2 linked regions of the Astyanax mexicanus genome follow. The protein of the gene in region 1 interacts with the protein of each later gene in a pairwise test. Links are inferred from orthologs where the notes say so. Each region holds a gene or a part of one and is shown in the gene's direction. Other genes may lie near its edges. The genes, in order: protein BCCIP homolog and rpl23.

Region 1 (10,414 bases):
AAAAATGGCTCGGGTTCAGAAGGACAGTTTATGGCTCAGGTCGGGTCTGGCTCGGGCAGAAAGTGCATGGATTTGGGCCGGGTCGGGCTGGATTTTTGGGCCCGATCTAAGCTCTACCGCTCCACACACTGCAGGCTTTTTGCACTGCGGTCAAGCCAGCCCCCACTTCAAAACGCTTGGTCAAACTAGCCCCCACGCTGTTTCTTAGAGCGCGCATACACTGAACATTGCGGCAAGCGTGAGAAGGAACACATTTCAAAATAAAAGTCCCTCCCTTAATATCACGACATTATGCTGTGGAGTGGTATTAAAAGGAATCCACATAATATCACATGTTATGTCTGATATCACCTGTCAATTTCATGTAGTCCTGGTAGTACACAAAATAAAAGCCCTGTAAATTATAACAATTATGTTAATTAAATAATAATAATACTAATAATAATAATACTAACAATACTACTACTAATAATAATACTACTTGTATGTGTCACTCACTTAATAGCAGGGCATTATAATGTGTCATTTCAAAATAAAGGCCCTTTAAATTTTAACATTTATGTAATTTTACACAATGTTTAGACTGTTATTAAAAGAAATCTGTCTGATATCACAGTTCAATTTCAGATAGTCCTGATAGTACACTACTTGTATGTGTCACTCACTTAAAATCAGAACATTTTGATGCGTCATTTCAAAATAAAGGCCCTTTAAATTATAACAATATTTTATTTCAACAATGTTTAGACTGTTATTAAAAGGAATCTGTCTGATATCACAGCTCAATTTTATATAGACCTGATAGTACACTACTTGTATGTTTCACTCACTTAAAATAAGAACATTTTGATGTGTCATTTCAAAATAAGGGCCATTTAAATTGTAACATTTATGTAATTTTACACAATGTTTAGACTGTTATTAAAAGAAATCTGTCTGATATCACAGTTCAATTTCAGATAGTCCTGATAGTACACTACTTGTATGTGTCACTCACTTAAAATCGTAACATTTTGATGTGTCATTTCAAAATAAAGGCCCTTTAAATTATAACAATATTTTATTTCAACACAATGTTTAGACTGTTATTAAAAGAAATCTGTCTGATATCACGGGTCAATTTCATATAGTCCTGATAGTACACTACTTGTATGTTTCACTCACTTAATATCAGAAGATTTTGATGTGTCATTTCAAAATAAAGGCCATTTAAATTATAACATTTATGTAATTTTACACAATATTTAGACTGTTCTTAAAATAAATCTGTCTGATATCACAGTTCAATTTCATATAGTCCTGATAGTACACTACTTGTATGTGTCACTCACTTAATAACAGAACATTTTGATGTGTCATTTCAAAATAAAGGCCCTTTAAATTGTAACATTTATGTAATTTTACACAATGTTTAGACTGTTATTAAAAGAAATCTGTCTGATATCACAGGTCAATCTCATATAGCCCTGATAGTACACCACTTGTATGTTTCACTCACTTAAAATCACAACATTTTGATGTGTCATTTCAAAATAAGGGCCATTTAAATTGTAACATTTATGTAATTTTACACAATGTTTAGACTGTTTTTAAAAGAAATCTGTCTGATATCACAGTTCAATTTCAGATAGTCCTGATAGTACACTACTTGTATGTTTCACTCAATTACTATCAGAACATTTTGATGTGTCATTTTAAAATAAAAGCCCTTTAAATTATAAAAAATATTTTATTTCAACACAATGTTTAGACTCTTATTAAAAAAATCTGTCTGATATCACAGCTCAAATTTATATAGCCCTGATAGTACACCACTTGTATGTTTCACTCACTTAAAATCAGAACATTTTGATGTGTCATTTCAAAATAAAGGCCCTTTAAATTATGAAATGAAATATGAAATTGACCTGTGATATCACACAGATTCATTTTAATAACAGCCAAAACTTGTGTTAAAATAAAAATATTGTTATAATTTAAAAGGCCTTTATTTTGAAATGACATATCAAAATGTTCTGTTATTAAGTGAGTGACACATACAAGTAGTGTACTATCAGGACTATATGATATTGACCTGTGATATCAGACAGATTCCTTTTAATAACAGTCTAAACATTGTGTAAAATTACATAAACATTACAATTTAAAGAGCCTTTATTTTGAAATGACACATCAAAATGTTCTGATATTAAGTGAGTGAAACATACAAGTAGTGTACTATCAGGACTATATGAAATTGACCTGTGATAGACAGATTTCTTTTAATAACTGTCTAAACCTAGTGGTAAAATAAAAGATTGTTATAATTTAAAGGGCCCTTATTTTGAAATGACACATCAAAATGTTCTGATATTAAGTGAGTGACACATACAAGTAGTGTACTATCAGGACTATATGAAATTGAACTGTGATATCACACAGATTGTTTTTAATAACAGTCTAAACATTGTGTAAAATTACATAAATGTTACAATTTAAAGGGCCTTTATTTTGAAATGACATCAAAATGTTCTGTTATTAAGTGAGTGACACATACAAGTAGTGTACTATCAGGACTATACAAAATTGAACTGTGATATCACACAGATTTATTTTAAGAACAGTCTAAACATTGTGTAAAATTATATAAATGTTATAATTTAAAGGGCCTTTATTTTGAAATGACACATCAAAATGTTCTGATATTGAGTGATTGAAACATACAAGTAGTGTACTATCAGGACTATATGAAATTGACCTGTGATATCAGACAGATTTATTTTAATAACAGTCTAAACATTGTGTTGAAATAAAATATTGTTATAATTTAAAGGGCCTTTATTTTGAAATGACACATCAAAATGTTCTGATATTACGTGAGTGACACATACAAGTAGTGTACTATCAGGACTATCTGAAATTGAACTGTGATATCAGACAGATTTCTTTTAATAACAGTCTAAACATTGTGTAAAATTACATAAATGTTACAATTTAAATGGCCCTTATTTTGAAATGACACATCAAAATGTTCTGATATTAATTGAGTGAAACATACAAGTTGTGTACTATCAGGACTATATGAAATTGACCTGTGATATCAGACAGATTTATTTTAATAACAGTCTAAACATTGTGTTGAAATAAAATATTGTTATAATTTAAAGGGCCTTTATTTTGAAATGACGCATCAAAATGTTCTGATATTAATTGAGTGAAACATACAAGTAGTGTACTATCAGGACTATATGAAATTGACCTGTGATAGACAGATTTATTTTAATAACAGTCTAAACATTGTGTTGAAATAAAATATTGTTATAATTTAAAGGGCCTTTATTTTGAAATGACACATCAAAATGTTATGATTTTAAGTGAGTGACACATACAAGTAGTGTACTATCAGGACTATCTGAAATTGAACTGTGATATCAGACAGATTTCTTTTAATAACAGTCTAAACATTGTGTAAAATTACATAAATGTTACAATTTAAATGGCCCTTATTTTGAAATGACACATCAAAATGTTCTGATTTTAAGTGAGTGAAACATACAAGTGGTGTACTATCAGGGCTATATAAAATTGAGCTGTGATATCAGACAGATTCCTTTTAATAACAGTCTAAACATTGTTGAAATAAAATATTGTTATAATTTAAAGGGCCTTTATTTTGAAATGACACATCAAAATGTTATGATTTTAAGTGAGTGACACATACAAGTAGTGTACTATCAGGACTATCTGAAATTGAACTGTGATATCAGACAGATTTCTTTTAATAACAGTCTAAACATTGTGTAAAATTACATAAATGTTACAATTTAAATGGCCCTTATTTTGAAATGACACATCAAAATGTTCTGATTTTAAGTGAGTGAAACATACAAGTGGTGTACTATCAGGGCTATATAAAATTGAGCTGTGATATCAGACAGATTCCTTTTAATAACAGTCTAAACATTGTTGAAATAAAATATTGTTATAATTTAAAGGGCCTTTATTTTGAAATGACACATCAAAATGTTATGATTTTAAGTGAGTGACACATACAAGTAGTGTACTATCAGGACTATCTGAAATTGAACTGTGATATCAGACAGATTTCTTTTAATAACAGTCTAAACATTGTGTAAAATTACATAAATGTTACAATTTAAAGGGCCTTTATTTTGAAATGACACATTATAATGCCCTGCTATTAAGTGAGTGACACATACAAGTATTATTAGTAGTAGTAGTATTGTTAGTATTATTATTATTAGTATTATTATTATTTAATTAACATAATTGTTATAATTTACAGGGCTTTTATTTTGTGTACTACCAGGACTACATGAAATTGACATGTGATATCAGACATAACATGTGATATTATGTGGATTCCTTTTAATACCACTCCACAGCATAATGTCATGATATTTTGAAATGTGTTCCTTCTCACGCTTGCCGCAATGTTCAGTGTATGCGCGCTCTAAGAAACAGCGTGGGGGCTAGTTTGACCAAGCGTTTTGAAGTGGGGGCTGGCTTGACCGCAGTCTGACGCAGCGCGCGTCTTTAAAGGACACGGAACTTTCCTGAAGGTTCCGAATCTTTCTGAATCGATTCTGATCGGATTGGATTATCTATTTAACAGTGGAGCTGTGTTTTTTAATATATAAAGTCATATTGTTGAATATTATAGTTATAAAACAGCAACACACACCTTAATATAAAAAAATATATAATTTATAAGTCAAAGTCAAAAGTATAAGTCAAAAATCTGGACACACCATAAAGTCGTTTTAAAATTAAATAATTTAGTAATAAAGTGTTAAACAAACCAGAATATGTTTTATATTTTACATTCTTTAAAGTAGCTCCTCTTGTTTAGATGATCAGTTTTGAACATCTCTGCTGGATTTTCTCAGTCAGTTTTATGAGGTAGAGTCACCTGGAATTCAGGCTTTCAGTTAACAGCTGTGCTGAACTCTTGTGTCTTAATGTGTTTGAGAGCATCAGTTGTAATGTTCTAATCCAGATTATGAGAAGCAACAACTACCCATCAAGTAAAGACAAAAAAAAAATAACAATAAAAAATTAAGGTCAGCCAATTTAAGAACTTTAAAAGTATCCTCAAGTGCAGTTGCACTTGACCTTCAAAAACGTTATGATGAAACTGGCTCTCATCTGGACCGGCCCAGTAAAGGAAGAGCGAGAGTTTTCTCTGTTGTATAAGATTGTATAAGGTTTATCAGTGTTTCCAGCCTCAGAAACCACAGGTTACCAGCACAAGGCCCACACTTGTAAGTTGTGAGTGGTTATCTGGTGAGTGGGGTGAAACACTGGTCAGCATGCTCAGTTTGGAGTTGTTGAAGGTAAAGCTCTTTATTTCCTCCATTAATGCTGTTAAACTCAGAAACTCAGAACATTAAGTTACAATATTCATCTACAATATTCAAAATTACCCTGAGGTATTGTAATGAAAAATACACTATTCTATTATTTTTGTCTCCCTTCCAAAAACAGGAAAATATTAGAATTTAAACAAATATCAAGATTAATGTTGTGATTTGTATTTTTTTTTCAATGATTGACATCACGAATGTAAAAAATATTGAATTTGCAAACAGTGATTATTTTAGTCAAATGTAAATATTTTTTAAACGATTACTGTAATGTGTTCAAATACATAAACATAACATATATAAAATATATTATTGCATTAAAAAACAAAAGACTTTTATTTTGTATTTGCCTCCCTTCAATGGCAACCTTCAGTTCCTGAGCTGAGGAAAAGGCGGCCATGCAGGCTCTGTTTCCGCGGTTCGGCTCGGTATTACCGGGTTGGAGTAAGATCCGGAATGGCGAGCAGCCGCGCGCGGTTTCCTGCCCCTTTAAACCGCGTGTCCGCGGAGCGCGCGGTACTCCTCAGCGGGCTGGAGCTGCGCGAGTGGCGGCATGGCCTCATTTGCGAAGCGGCGCGCGGTAGGAGCGGGAGAGGAGCCGGAGGAGGAGCGGGATTCCGGGGAGAGCGGAGAGGAGGAGAGCGGGGAGTCGGAGGAGGAGGAGGAGATTAATGAGGTGAGGATTAATAAAGAGGAGCGAGTTCTCGGCCTGAGGTTCACCAGCTAAACTCAAGCTGTTCTTCCCCAAACTCTCCGCTCCACCTTAAATCTGCAGTTTTATAGGGGTTGCCGTCTGCATAGGCTCATTACTGTACGATTTAAGGTGGAATTTTGTGTTTTATGAGTAAGCAGCTTCTAACTGGTCAAACAATGCTTATCTCTGGTACAACAGAAAAAAGTCTAGTCTAGAAACTAGCTATGGATATTTGAAGTAACATCGAAGCACTGTTGTAAGTCGCTCTGGATAAAGGCGTCTGCTAAATACCTTAAATGTAAATGTTTCTTTGGTTAAAATGACTCTTTTAGTAAAAAAAAAAAGCTTGGTTCCTTTTATAAAGCAACAAAAAAAGTGTTATTGTTGTTATTAATAATAATAATAATAAATATAATAATAATCATAATCATAATAATAATTATTATTAATATTAATATTATTATTATTAATACAAATAATTAGATTGTCTGCATTGTTTCATATATGCACTGATATAAAACGTTATGAAACATTTCGCCCTTAACTCAGAGCCCCCTGACCCCTAACCTAGAGCCCTGTGAACCCTGACCCCTAACCTAGAGCCCTGTGAACCCTGACCCAGAGCACTTAGTGTTCCATTAACTTTCTTTTCTTCTGTTTTCAGGAGGTTGTTGTGGATTTTGAAGCTCACACTATATCTGATAACGATTTTAATGGGGTTAAGAAGTTGATGCAGCAGGTAACCCAAACGTAGTAACACAACCAGACGTTTATTTAATCTGGAATTAAAAGGAATATGGACCAAAGAAAATTTACTTGAGTGAATCGAGGATTACTGACTATTATTTATATATCTCCAACAGCTTTTCCTGAAGGCACATGTCAACACCTCTGAGCTGACAGACCTCATTATCCAGCAGAATCACATTGGCAGTGTGATCAGGGTGGGTGGACCTGGTATTTTGGGTTAATTATTATTATTTTTTTTTTATTAAATAGTATTAATAGTATAGGAGACAATACTTAACAGCTCTATATGGTGTAGAAAACTAATCATATGTTACATTTGAGTCAAAGGTACACTCATTCTGACACAATTAATATTAGTCTGAGTAACATTTATGTGTCAGATGTACAGTTAGGTCTGTTGGTGCTTGATGTTCTGTAAACCCCCAGCAGGTGGAGTAGTAAGCCAGGTTACCTGTGTGATCTCATCATGTGGGGAAATCAAAATTTTATACTGTGTTTTTTGTTTTCTGTTTTCAGCAAGCCGAGGTGCCGGACGACAGCGACGATGAGGATCCAGATGAGGTGTTTGGATTCATCAGCATCGTCAATCTGACGGAGAGGAAGGTAGAGCACCAGCCCTGAATATCACACACTTGAATAAATAATATATTAGTGCTATAGTGTTGCTAATTAATTGCTATGATCCCATAGTGCATAGGTCGGCAATAGGCGGCCCGCGGGCCAGATGCGGCCCGCAAGCAAGAAACATCTGGCCCGTGAGGTTGAACTATAACGAAAAAAAAAATCGGACTGTCCGTCTCAAAAATGCTCTTTATTTAGAAACTTAATTTTCCAAAACAGAAAAATTTATTAAAGATTTTTTGATAGAGCCACGGGCTGTTAGATAATCCGTGTATCATTCGTTCATTTGATATTCAATTGAGAATCAAAATCGGAAAATTAAAAAACCAATTCGTTTTTTCGTTTTTTCGTTTTTGAATATAATACCAAAAAACGAATAACGGCTTGTATTTTGTATTTTTATTTGGTTATCCAAACAAAAATTGGAAATTTAAAAAACGGACCAGGAGCCGAATTTGATTTTGATTTTGAACTTGACCCATTTGTGTGCCCCGGAAGTTACTGATTTGTTTATTCTTGGTGGGTTTCTGTTGCGCGGGAGTTCACTGCAGTGTTATCTACACAGTCTGTATTGCTGTAGGCTTTGGATGGAGTTGAGGATGGAGAGTTTTATCTTGTTCAGAGGAACTAAACGCGTTGCAGTGAAAGAAGACGATATGACAACAGAAAAAATCGGCAGGATCTTTCAGGTGTTTGTCTAACGTTCCGTAGCTAAATGTCATATTTAGTTAATGTTATTCTGTGAATTGCCGCCTACTAAATATGACATTTAGCTACGGAACGTTAGACAAACACCTGAAAGATCCTGCCGATTTTTTCTGTTGTCATATCGTCTTCTTTCACTGCAACGCGTTTAGTTCCTCTGAACAAGATAAAACTCTCCATCCTCAACGGCCCTCTCCAATTCTGTGTTCGATACATGTCTTTTTCGCTTAAGGTCGTGTTGAACACAGAACCTTCTAACACTTATTGCAGAACATCGCTGGATCCCCATTTGCTGCAACGTGCACGAAATCTCTTCATGCGTCTTACCACCTTCAAAAAGATCTTTAATTAGGCCAGAATGTGGTTCCAGTCCGGCCATGCTGCCTACAGCAATACAGACTGTGTAGATAACACTGCAGTGAACTCCCGCGCAACAGAAACCCACCAAGAATAAACAAATCAGTAACTTCCGGGGCACACAAATGGGTCAAGTTCAAAATCAAAATCAAATTCGGCTCCTGGTCCGTTTTTTAAATTTCCAATTTTTGTTTGGATAACCAAATAAAAATACAAAATACAAGCCGTTATTCGTTTTTTGTTATTATATTCAAAAACGAAAAAACGAAAAAACGAATTGGTTTTTTAATTTTCCGATTTTGATTCTCAATTGAATATCAAATGAACGAATGATACACGGATTTTAGATAACTGCTAGCTTCTTTGTTCTGTTTTTTTTTTTTTTTTTTATTCGTTTGTTTTTTTTTATTTAACAAACAGGTATATCATTAATAGCGCCCCCAATGGTCAGTCCACAGATTTCACCCACATCAGCCCACTTGAATGTCTGCTTGTCATTTTAAGAGCGCCCTCCCGCCACCGCGCCCGCCAAACAACCCCCCCCCCCCGAGTGCTTGTGGCCCGCCATGTAATGGCTTGGAAAAAATCTGGCCCGCGGCCAAACTTAATTGCCGACCCCTGCCATAGTGGTTGCTCTGGTGTTGCTAAATGATGTTTAACCGTCTCTCTAATTTTACAGGTGTTGTTGCTAGTTACTTGGGTGTTGCTTTCCAGTTGCTCTGGTATCCTAGGTGGTTGCTGTGAGGAGGTTATTTAGTAGAAAGGGGTATATTAGTATATTATATAATGTAGATTATTGACTGCCTCACCATTGTGTGCTATAGAGTAAATAGTTAAGTTATTCTGTTAAGTGACCCCTGTTGTGTGGAGGCTGTACTGCAGTGTCTCTTCAGGGTTTTACACAGTCTGTTGTTTTTCAGTGTGTAGATTATGATGTACTGAGCGTGTGTTTGTTTGGCAGGGGCTGGAGTGTGTGGAGCAGGTGAAGGAGCTGGTGTTGGGTCAGTGTGAGAAGCTCTGCCCGGCCGCTGTGTTGGAGCAGTTTGAGAAAGTTCTGCACGATTCGTCTCAGGCTGTCGGGCTGCTGCTCAGCGAACGCTTCATCAACGTCCCGCCGCAGATCGCCCTGCCTCTCTACAAACAGCTACTGTGAGTAAAATTTTACTGCAGTAATTATTCTATATTTAATAATTTAGGTTTTCTAATACAGTCGGTACACACACACATGCGCACAGGTGCTAAAAGAAGCAGGATTTTCTCCTGGTGAAAGGAGTGTTTGCAGGACCTTTAAAACATTTATCACATTATCAGTGTGCTTTAATATGCATACGCAGGACAGTGTATTTATCCTGTATGACTGAATTATTTATTGTTCTGTGCAGAAGATTATTTTAACTTATATCAAAATATTGCTATAAATACTGTGTACTGTAAAATTTATATCACAATATTTAAAAACATTTTTGACAAGATCACCCCGCTCTGTGTGTGAGTATACACTCCACAGTGGTGGCTTTTAAACTTTTCATATTAATGAGAAAACAATATCGTATCAACTGTAATTAAAAAAAAAAAATCACATCAATTTTGCCCATAGTCTAGCACTAATATAATCCTATTGAAAGAGTAACAAAACTACTGACAGACGTCATTTTTTTTTACACCACAAGGGGGCATTTAATCTTGTTTCCACCTTTAAAACTTTAAACACAGTTTACTTTCAGCAGGAGCCTGAAGGACTCGTACATTCAGATTTGGGCTTCAATTATGTATTTTGTAAAACTTCCTTATCTTATTAGAATAAACTTCTATCAGAATTAGCATTTTGTTTCTGTCTGTTATTTTATGAAATTGAAATGTTAGAATTTTTGATGACTCCTGGTGTTTAAAATAGAAATCTAGAGCTGTAAACCAGCATGTT
Region 2 (10,527 bases), on another chromosome or scaffold:
TCTGGAGATGATTCCAGGTGTGGCATTTGCATTTGGAAGCTGTTGCTGTGAACCCATAACATGCGCTTAAAGAAGCTCTCAATGGAAGTGAAACAGACCATCATTAGGCTAAAAAATGTCCCTGGGTCACCAAGATTAATGATTTGACAGAAGACAGAAGAAGAAAGATAAGTTCTGAAGTGTACAGGGATTTACTTTCTGCTCAGATTCTACCAAACGCAGAAAGATTGCTTGGACAGGCCTGAACAGTACAGATAGCCCTTTCATCATTCAGATGTGAATATATCGGACTGTAGTGTGTATGTTTACCGTGTTAAAACAAGCTACGTGGGATGAACCACTAGCTAATATCACCCTGGCTTACCGGAACACTTAGTGTTTCTCAGTGTAGCGCTGTCAGGTGGAATTGGCCACTAACTGCTAGTGGTTAGCTGCTAATGCTAATGATGCTGCACGCAATGGAAATCTGGAAATCTAAGCTTACTGTAAATAAAAAGATGCGATTTACTCCCCCAAATAAACAGTTTTCAGGAGAGAAACCTATGTAAATGAACATCCACCACTTGTTTGACGTTAAAAAATATATATTTTTTTTAAGAATTAAAGTTTTGTTTATTTTGCTTAGCTTTAGCTGGGTGGCAAGACCTGCTGAATTAGAAGGCGAACATGGTGACACCTCTGTTCCTTACTAGTGTCGCATACTGCTCCTTATGTATGAAAATAGACCAGAAAATACACAGTTATTGAAAATGTGCCTTATATAATCTGGTGCGTTTTATAGTGCAAAAATACAGTACCTTGAGTCCCTGAAATAAGGAAAAAATTGTAGAAAAATGTTTGTAATTAAACACTTTAGGCCTATAGTATATTTTTGTTCATCCCCTTAAATTAAATCTACACTTTAAGTCTACTCTTAAATTACATCTCATTTGTTTTAATTCAAGTCCAGTGTGGTGGCATGCAGAGTCCAAATCACAAAGATTGTGTCACTGTCCAAATATTTATGGGTCTTACTGTATGCCAGTGGTCAGTTACCTCATCTTACTATCATTAGGCAAACTGTCCCTTACACTGTGACAAATGTCTTGACGAATGGACCAATAGAACTTCTCCAAAATTACCTGAAATATACTCTTTTTTCATTGAACAGTGAAAATATGTGCCTATAAAGTTATTAAGCAAAAAGTCTTAAGTATCCCGATGTGCAGATGTACAGGATGTAATTTAAAGTGCCAATAGTGCAGATAAAATAAACCCATAATTTAACTTATGAGATTTAGTTTTAGCTGTCCTCATCTCTCTTCCGGTACAAAGGATCTCATAAGAGCGGCTTTTTGAAAAGGTTTACAAAATGTTTTGTCATTAAAACTCTTTCAATTTCCAGTGTTTATTTCCAGCTGCTGGTTTTCTCTGTGCCAATAATGACAGATTTTAATATGTATTTCATTTTCTGCTATATTGTACTGTATTAAGATATAAAGTGATTGACAGCCTGGCTTGAATAGACCGTCTGCAGGACCTTTATTGTTCAGTTGGCTTGATATTTGAGTCTTTCATGTTTCTTCTGGTTTAATGTCTAGAAATGTTAGCACCTAATGACTATGCACACGTCAGAATGTTTAACACTAAAAAAGTATTAATAGAAAAAATGTATTACTTAAATAAGCTATCTACATTATATATATTGACTTGGCCACAATGTTAATTGATAGACTGGTTGATTGATTAAAGTCTAGTTTAGTTACAGATTCTGAATGTTGGTTTTGAATCATCATTAACTGCCCAGCTATAGTTGAAACATTACACTTTTCAGGAAAATGTCTTTTATCTTTACTGCACATTTGGACTCTGATTGTGGATATATGTCTTGACAGGCCAGAACAGGGCAAATTAGCAGTGTCTTATATTCTGTGTTTTGAAAAATTGTGGGTCAAGTCAAGGTACAAATCAAACTTTGACCATTACTATCAGTTGCCATGTTAAGTTTAGCAGGTTTCATTAAAAGCTGCATGTAAACAAAAAAAAAAACAGAACTGCTACTTTGTGAAAATCAATATAATATTGCAAAACAGTATTGTGATACTCCGGCGTATTAATTTTTTACAACCCTACTGACCAGATGTTCTGTGTGTTTCCTCAAAGGTCCAAACTGCTTCGCTGGAAACCGCATCATCCCGGCCGGAGAGCGAGTGGAGATTGACGAGCGGACCGTGTGCTACTGCACTTACCGTGACGGCACATGGCAGACTCAGCCTCACGCCACCTGCGAGCCGAGCCAGCAGCCAGACGAGGAGGATGCATCCAAACAGATGGAGGAGAGTGAGAGAGAAAGAGAGAGGGAGCGAGAGAGAGAGAAAGAGAGGCAGAGGGAGCTGTTGCCAAGGCTGGACGTCATCCCATGAGGGCAGGGGTTCTTTGGACAGGCCAAGAGAAAAGCAGGAGGTCCGGCAGATGCCCGTGGCCAGGGTAAACACAACCTGCGTTGGGCCTGACTGCCAACGCTGACCTCTTCCACCTCCCTCTGAGCCGAGACACCTGCTGAAGCCATGCACCTGTCCCAAAATATCCAGACACCTGCTCATCCAACATTTCTTTCACAGTCAAGGGTATTAGAGGCCTCCAGCACTCATGCCTTTAAAAAAAAATGTGTTTGTTAAATGGTTAATCCCTCTTGGATGACTAATAAAAAGTAGGTCAAATGTGATCGAATGAGATTTCACTATATTGTACATTTACATAACTTGTAAGTACAATCTTGTAAAAATGAGTTTCTGATGAGTTAAGATGTCCATTGTTCAGCAGCCCATTCGTTTAGTTAACTAGTGGACCACCATCAGTCGTGAATGACAAGTTATTCTTCAAGATTTAAAGGTCTCTTGTTACTTTGATCAAACTTTGTTTTTTGATCATTGCCATCAGGTAGAAGCGTGAAGGTGTAGTTTTGGCTTTGCAGCAATATGGGTGTTAAATCGAAGCATCAACACTCTTAAGAAATAGGTTCTATAAGGGATCTGTAATAAAGGCAAAGGAGTAAAAGTCAAAGAGGCATTTGGATGAAAACATGGTTCTTAACTTAGTTAAAAGGTATAGACTAATGTATTTTTCACACTAAAAGGCGCACCAGATTATAAGGTGCACTATCAATGAACGTTTATTTTCTGGTCTATTTTCATACATAAGGTGCACCGAATTATAAGGCGCATTATGTGACATTAGTAAGGAACAGGTACAGGGGTTGGCCAATCTGAAAGCTGAAACACCTGTCATTTTAGTGTGGGAGGTTTCATGGCTAAATTGGAGCAGCCTGGTGGCCAATCTTCATTAATTGCACATTGCACCAGTAAGAGCAGAGTGTAAAGGTTCAATTAGCAGGGTAAGAGCGCAGTTTTGCATAAATATTGCAATGCACAACAACATTATGGGTGAAATACCAGAGTTCAAAAGAGGACAAATTGTTGGTGCACGTCTTGCTGGAGCATCTGTGATCAAGACAGCAAGTCTTTTTGATGTATCAAGAGCCACAGTACCCAGGGTAATGTCAGCATACCACCAAGAAGGACCAACCACATCCAACAGGATTAACTGTGGATGCAAGAGGAAGCTGTCTGAAAGGGATGTTCGGGTGCTAACCCGGATTGTATCTTAAAAAACATAAAACCACGGCTGCCCAAATCAATGCAGAATTTAATGTGCACCTCAACTCTCCTGTTTCCACCAGAACTGTCCGTCGGGACAATAAATTATTGTGGTCTAAAACCAGGTGTTTCAGTTTCATTGTCCAACCCTTGTAAGTCGCCGTGGTTCCCTTCTAATTCAGCAGGTCTCAACAGGGTTAAACGCTTCTTTTTCTGTTCGGTTATGTCATTCTTTACATACAAGAAAAAAAGCTACTTGTACATTGCTTTTTCTTGTTATTTTCTTATAAATTGTTCTACTGTATATAGCACCAAAATGTGTGAGAAAGCCCTATAGAGATGCAGCACATTGTTTATAGAGTGGGCATTTGGTATTGTTTATCTTGATAAACAACAGAGACCCTTGAGGGTTGTGTATCATTCTGTAGTCGGCTTCATGCCCAGAGAACTGGATCTAAGCTGTGTTTTAAAAATCACTGCTATTGCATTATGTGGTAAACAATACACGTGGCATTTACACTGTAGCATTAAATCTGTCTAAGCCTCTTAACTACCACACTGGCAGTCTAATATTTTGGTGAGGTTAACTTATCTTTTTTTCATTATGTTCATGTTCATTCTACAGCACTGCGGCAATATTATTATTTTTTTATTTTAAGCAACTTTATGACTGGCATTTGGGATTTTCCTGATTGACAGTGAATAAGAACATGCCTAAACCAGTATTGAATCAGGGGGTTGAATTTTTTTGGAATCCTAAATTCTGCATGCAGGTCCAAAGCTGTTTTAGAGTTGAGATTACCAAGCCCCTCAATGGAGGTTTTACCTTAAATCCACACCTTATACAGCCCCATTCAAGTAATCATTAAGTGTGTTTACATGCACTTATTCGAGATATAGATGTCGTCTTGTAAACAGCATACTCAGCATATTAGAGAAGTCAATAATCATATTTCTCAGTGCATGGACACCTACCTCCAAAAGTTTTACTGTAGACTGAATATGTGAATATAAAGCCCTATCCAGACAGGATTGGTGGGTTTAGAATCCAGTTACTTAAAGGGCTAGTCCTTCACAAACAGAAACAGAGCACCTATACAGCCACTCAAGTTTCAGAAATCATCCGTTTTTTTTTTTGTTTGTTTTCTTGTCTGATGTCTCTGTGTTCATGTTTCTGAACTCGGTTGATTTGGTTGTTTAGGGATTACTAAATGTACAGTGTCGACCAACATGCATGCAGTGCTTGTAAAAATCATATTTGTAAATATTACAGCATTACACATAAATAAACATCTTCATTTTCACCTAAAGAATGAGGTTCATGCTGAGCATATTTTAATAAGTAATGATTATTATATGCAATTTACTATTAACTATATAATACATATGCTTTTTCATCCTGTATATCAATGTGAAAAGTTGTCATTGATTAAAGATGCACATTTATAGACATGTAAATAATTATATGAAATACTCATGAAAGTTATACAGTACCAGTCAAAGGTTTGGACACAAACCAGAATATGTTTTATATTTTAGATTCTTCAGAGTAGCACCTCTTGTTTAGATGACAGCTTTACACACCTTGGCTTTTTTTTCTCAGTCAGCTTTATGAGGTAGAGTCACCTGGCATGGCTCACAGTTAACAGCTGTGCTTCACTAAGAGTTAATTACTTAAATTAATTACTTAAACTTAAATCAGTTGTGTTGTGAAGAGGTAAAGTTGGTATACAGTAACTAGCCCTATTTAAATAATGTTTTAATCCATATTATGGCAAGAACTTCTCAACTAAGTAAAGAAAAATGACTTTAAGAAATTAAGGTTAGTTAATCCGAAAATTTGTAACAACTTTAAAAAGTATCCTCAAGTGCAGTCGCAAACACCATCAGAAACATTACACTGCAACTGGCTCTCATCAGTATCAGAAACCGCAAGTTTCCATATTCCATACCGCAACACTCCATATAAGAGCACCTAAATGCTTTACAGAGTATTTTGGTTTGTTTACTACATGATTGGCACCGTATATCACCAATATTGTGTAAAAAAAAAAACACATTCATTCTTTTTTTCGTTTTGTTTTACATAAAACAAATCTTTTTGTTTTTCTTTACATTGCGTCAAAATATGGGTGGATTGATGGATTGATCGTAATTACTTATCATAAATGGATTTTTCAGAATTAAATACAACAAATAGTACACCTTAGAAAGTAAAAGAAAAATAATCAATACAATGAATTTGAATAAAATGTAATAGTTCAGACCACTTGACACATCAGGCTTGTATTTTAAAAGACAATTCTTCACTGGGTAAATTCTATGGATTAATTTCAAAGTATTTTAAAGGTAAACTTTTCACTTTTACACTTTTCGCAAAGTATAAACTCTACAATACCCTTTCTGAAGTAATGTCCTTATCTGCTTGTTATTTCGTAGCCAATGTGTTAAAAAGCATGCACTCCCAATATAAATATCCAATCAATCATGTGATTGACAAAATGACAGTGAAAACCTCTTACAATAAAGCTACTCCTGTTGTAATTACATTTATCACAACAGAACATTCCCAAATATGTATATCAATTTTTAGTATTTTTTTTAAATTAGGTCAGTATAACTTAATGGACCTCCATTAGAGTCAAGAAGCTGACCAACTAAAACAAGGTTTTACCGACTAACACTGTTGAGTAGGAGTCTGAGCATGCGCAGTGGAGTATGCTGCAGTTCGCTCCTCCGCCTGCAGGGGCCGCCGTGGCGCTGAAAGCGGAGAGCCGGAGCGTCATTTCCGAGCGCTCCCCTCTCCTCCTTCCTTTCTCTTTCCAGCCGCGATGTCTAAGAGAGGTGAGCGAGCCTGTCTCTGAATCCGCTTTAATCCTCTCTTTATAACACCTTTAAACTCACACTGCGATGTTTAACTATAATACAAAGCCCTTCTGATTTCGGTTTGGACGGTATGGAGGCAGTTTTAGTTTTAATTTTGATGATAATGGTTTATAAGTTTTGGCGCTGATGGAGGAACGGAGCGGCGGCTCTTCAGCGGGGAGCGGTGGAAGGTGTTTTAGGCCAAAACCTGTTTTGAGAAGCTTTTCAGCGGCTGTTTTATGGTATAAATGTTTTATACTTTGGTCTATTGTGTTAATTTTGGGTTAAAACAAAGTTAAAATGTAGTGGACGGTCTGTTGTGGAGCTAAGTGGGCTAGCTAAAGTTACCTAGCCTGGCTAATAGCTGTATGAGTAGCAGTTATGTTGAGAACAGCATTAGCTAACGATACTACATGAAGCTAGCTCATGGTTAATCTAAAGCTGGATGTTGGATAAAAAGGTAATACTGTGGATAAGACTGGGTCTCCTAGCTTTTAAAGGACTGTGTGTGGCAGGTTTGATGTGGAATTGTGGTTCTTTGCAGAGATAGCGTAGCTAGGCTAGGTTAGCTAACTACAGCTTGGCATTTCTGTACTGTGGTTGTGAATGAAGCCAGGCGTCACTATTTAAAACACACGTGTAGCCGAGTATTACTTTAGTGGCATTTTTTTTCTAGAAGTACTTTTTTCTTCTTAATACCTTGCATGTGTCTCTTTACCGTTTTTAATGCGGAAAAAAACACTCCTCTAATGTCACCAGGCTATGGTATTTAAACACCAAAAGTAAGCTACATAAATTAAGACTGTTATGCCATTGCATAACATGGTGTAACCTATTTGCTTCTCAGAAAAAGCAATAACTAAAGTTACAGTTAAATATTTAATTTCTCAGCACTTTACCTTCTTCCTCCCAGCAGACATATCACCAAAACCCAATATTGTTTGGCATTTTGAGTGTGTATAGCTGAAATTTAATTCTTAGAGAACCACCAATATGTATGCAGTTTACCCACATGTACATCTTTGTATAAACCTAAGCGATATTTTCGAAACAGTATTACGCTCATAAATCCTTCTAAAAAGCACTTGCTTCGTCTGCTCAGTGGCTGAGTGAGTTGTCGTGGAAGGAAATAGTAAATCCCATTGCTCTTGGGTGAGATGGCAGCTTTAATTAATGTACTGTTCAATCTCAATCCGTGATGGTACACCTTCAAATGAGCTATGTAAATCTGAACACGTCTTCATAACTATGGGGTAAGAAAAAAAAATATTGCAGTGAGGGAGATTTGGGCAGGCATTAAAAATTTCTTCAGGTGTCTGGTTTCATTCGCCCACTCTTTGTACCATTCTGACATGGCAAGATTCTTTTACAACAATTGCACATTAAATTGGTCTGTCTTTTATAGTGTTAAGTTTATGTACTCTCTTTATTCTGAGCTGATTTTATTATTTAGTCCGTCAGGTAATGTTATACAGTTTGGAGGCTTAACTTGTATGGTATGTTACTCATATGTAGTCTACATTTAATCTACTCAATAGCAATTTTTTTTCAAGCACATAACCTACAGGTACACGTTTATTTACATTTACTGAATTTGGTGGTGTGAGCTTGGTTGACTTAACAAATCTGTCAGTGATTAAATAAATGGTGATCTCTCTCTTTCAGGACGTGGTGGAGCATCTGGAGCCAAGTTCCGCATCTCACTGGGTCTCCCAGTGGGAGCGGTCATCAACTGTGCTGACAACACAGGTAAGGCAGCATGTTGCTGACCAGTTTATAAAATCTGTTTGTAACAGGGTGCTGATTTTAATAGTTTTACAGTTGCCCTGCTTTGTAAGATGTTAGTTAACATTTATTTTTCATTTGCTGTTGCTGTCACACCTTCTATTCATTGTTCACTGCAGTGTGAATTGTTGCTGGATAAAGAGAAATCAATGTAGTTTAATTATTATATAATAGAAGTTATACATTGTCAAATGTGCAGGGAAGGCACCAATAGAAATTATCCAAAATGTCTTGGAATAAAATGTTCACACTCCCTTGCATATAGGGTTATTTAGGGATCTGTAAGAGCACTTTTGGCAATATGTAAAACAAAAAAATTACTCTACTGTACTCCTTCTAAAAAGCACTTGCTTCGTCTGTTTAGTGGCTGAGTGAGTTGTCGTGGAAGGAAATAATAAATCCCATTGCTTAAGGGTGAGATGGCAGCTTTGTTTGTAACTGTTAAATCTCAATCGGTGATGGAACACCTTAAAGAACTTATGCATTCAGCAGCCTGCTCTTGCTATTTGAGAAAATATTGTCCTATAACTGTTTATGTAAAGTGTTTTTGTGACATAAACATATGTTTTTGACATTTGTTAGGTGCCAAGAACCTGTACATCATCTCCGTCAAAGGTATCAAGGGTCGTCTGAACAGGCTCCCTGCTGCAGGTGTTGGTGACATGGTTATGGCCACTGTGAAGAAAGGCAAACCAGAGCTCAAGAAAAAGGGTGAGTATATAAATGTATACAAGGAATATAAAGGCAGCTGATTGCAAACAAGTTATTTACTTTTGCTTAAAAATGCTTCATCTTTCTATGTATTGGTGTTGATTGTTCACTGCCCGCATACTTGTTGATCTTGGTACCCTTTACAGTGCAGCACTAGTGTTAAGTTTTTGTGCGCCACACCAATCCACTGTTGTTAAGCTGGACTTTTACTTGATTGCTGCCCATTTACACATTTTTAACTTTTGGTAGTGTAGTCACAAATCATAATGTCTAATTTTAACTAGAATATTTTAGACCAGACTTTAGCCTGTGAAGTAAGAGCCAGACACAGCAATGTTTGTTGGTCAGTCCTCACCTCTAAACTGAAAGGGTGTAGTGCAAGATTTCTGGGCTTTAATTACCTGCAAAGTGAGTGCCTATTTTGCCACTTTCACTGTTGCATCAATTAATATAGCCTATGTATTCAGAGGTGATGCAATTACTAAAACTAGTGACATACCAACAAGGCACAGTATAGCTGGGCATTTTGAATATTTAAGGCTGAAGTTTCTCTGTTGCTCAGTACCACCAATATTTATGCAGCTAACCCATGTTTACATCTTACAAATAAAGCTATAGTATTGCACTCACAAATCCTTCTAAAAAGCACTTGCTTCGTCTGCTCAGTGGCTGAGTGAGTTGTCGTGGAAGGAAATAGTGAATCCCATTGCTAATGGGTGAGATGGCAGCTTATTCTCTGTGCTGTTCAATCTCAATCCGTGGTGGTACACTTAACACGAAACAACTGTTTGGTGTAATAACTGTTAGGAAGCTTTTAGCAGGCTTTAAACTCCTTTCTTTTGGAGAGTCTAAGATTGTCTGGAACAAATGTCACTTCTGGCTTTGTGAAGTAACATCCCGACAGTGGTTTAACCACTCATTTAGGAATGCACCAAAATACTTAATCTGAAACTGAACCTGTGTGTTCAGAGGAATACGAAATGTGTTTTGCAGGTTTTCACCACTGCAGTGTATATTGTCTTTTTCAAAGAAAAGGTTATCACAAAAGTGAAATTGGTTCATGCACACTTGCATCGAAAAAGACATGATCTAAAATAATCCTTCGTCTTTAATGTAGTCTTTGATTATCTTGCTTTTTTTGTACTTTTGGTTAAATTTTTAGTTGATGAAAATTAGGTGCTCCTATTAATTCTCTGAGGTGCAGTCTCTCAGAGCTGAAATACTACCATGTAAAGGATTGGAATCCTAAACTATGAAAGTAGTATTCTCTGATAAATGTGTAAAAACGTGGTGGTGTGGGTTATTTTGGAGCATTTGTGCTTGATTCAATTAGTTTGTACTAAACATCAAAATGAATGGGTCTGTCTTTGTTTTGCAGTGCATCCTGCGGTGGTGATTCGACAGCGGAAGTCGTACCGGCGAAAAGATGGTGTGTTCTTATACTTTGAAGACAATGCGGGGGTCATAGTGAATAACAAGGGTGAAATGAAAGGTGAGTTGAATTCAGTTTGAAATCTGTTACTTGAGGCAT

What was found.
Region 2: the proteins of protein BCCIP homolog (region 1) and rpl23 interact in binary tests that used the Homo sapiens proteins (3 or more experiments, as listed by UniProt). The link is inferred for Astyanax mexicanus from reciprocal best matches to the Homo sapiens genes BCCIP and RPL23.

The regions. Positions count from the first base shown.
Region 1 is NC_064422.1:13,961,127-13,971,540, reverse strand, and holds the start of protein BCCIP homolog, read left to right. Parts: upstream 1-5,836; 5' UTR 5,837-5,919; coding exon 5,920-6,042; intron 6,043-6,724; coding exon 6,725-6,799; intron 6,800-6,923; coding exon 6,924-7,004; intron 7,005-7,326; coding exon 7,327-7,413; intron 7,414-9,454; coding exon 9,455-9,642; intron 9,643-10,414. UniProt on the Homo sapiens protein: During interphase, required for microtubule organizing and anchoring activities. During mitosis, required for the organization and stabilization of the spindle pole.
Region 2 is NC_064426.1:17,151,732-17,162,258, reverse strand, and holds the start of rpl23 (60S ribosomal protein L23), read left to right. Parts: upstream 1-6,374; 5' UTR 6,375-6,466; coding exon 6,467-6,479; intron 6,480-8,165; coding exon 8,166-8,249; intron 8,250-8,867; coding exon 8,868-8,996; intron 8,997-10,374; coding exon 10,375-10,488; intron 10,489-10,527. Other genes in the region: si:dkey-283b1.7 (brorin), read left to right, coding at 2,143-2,402.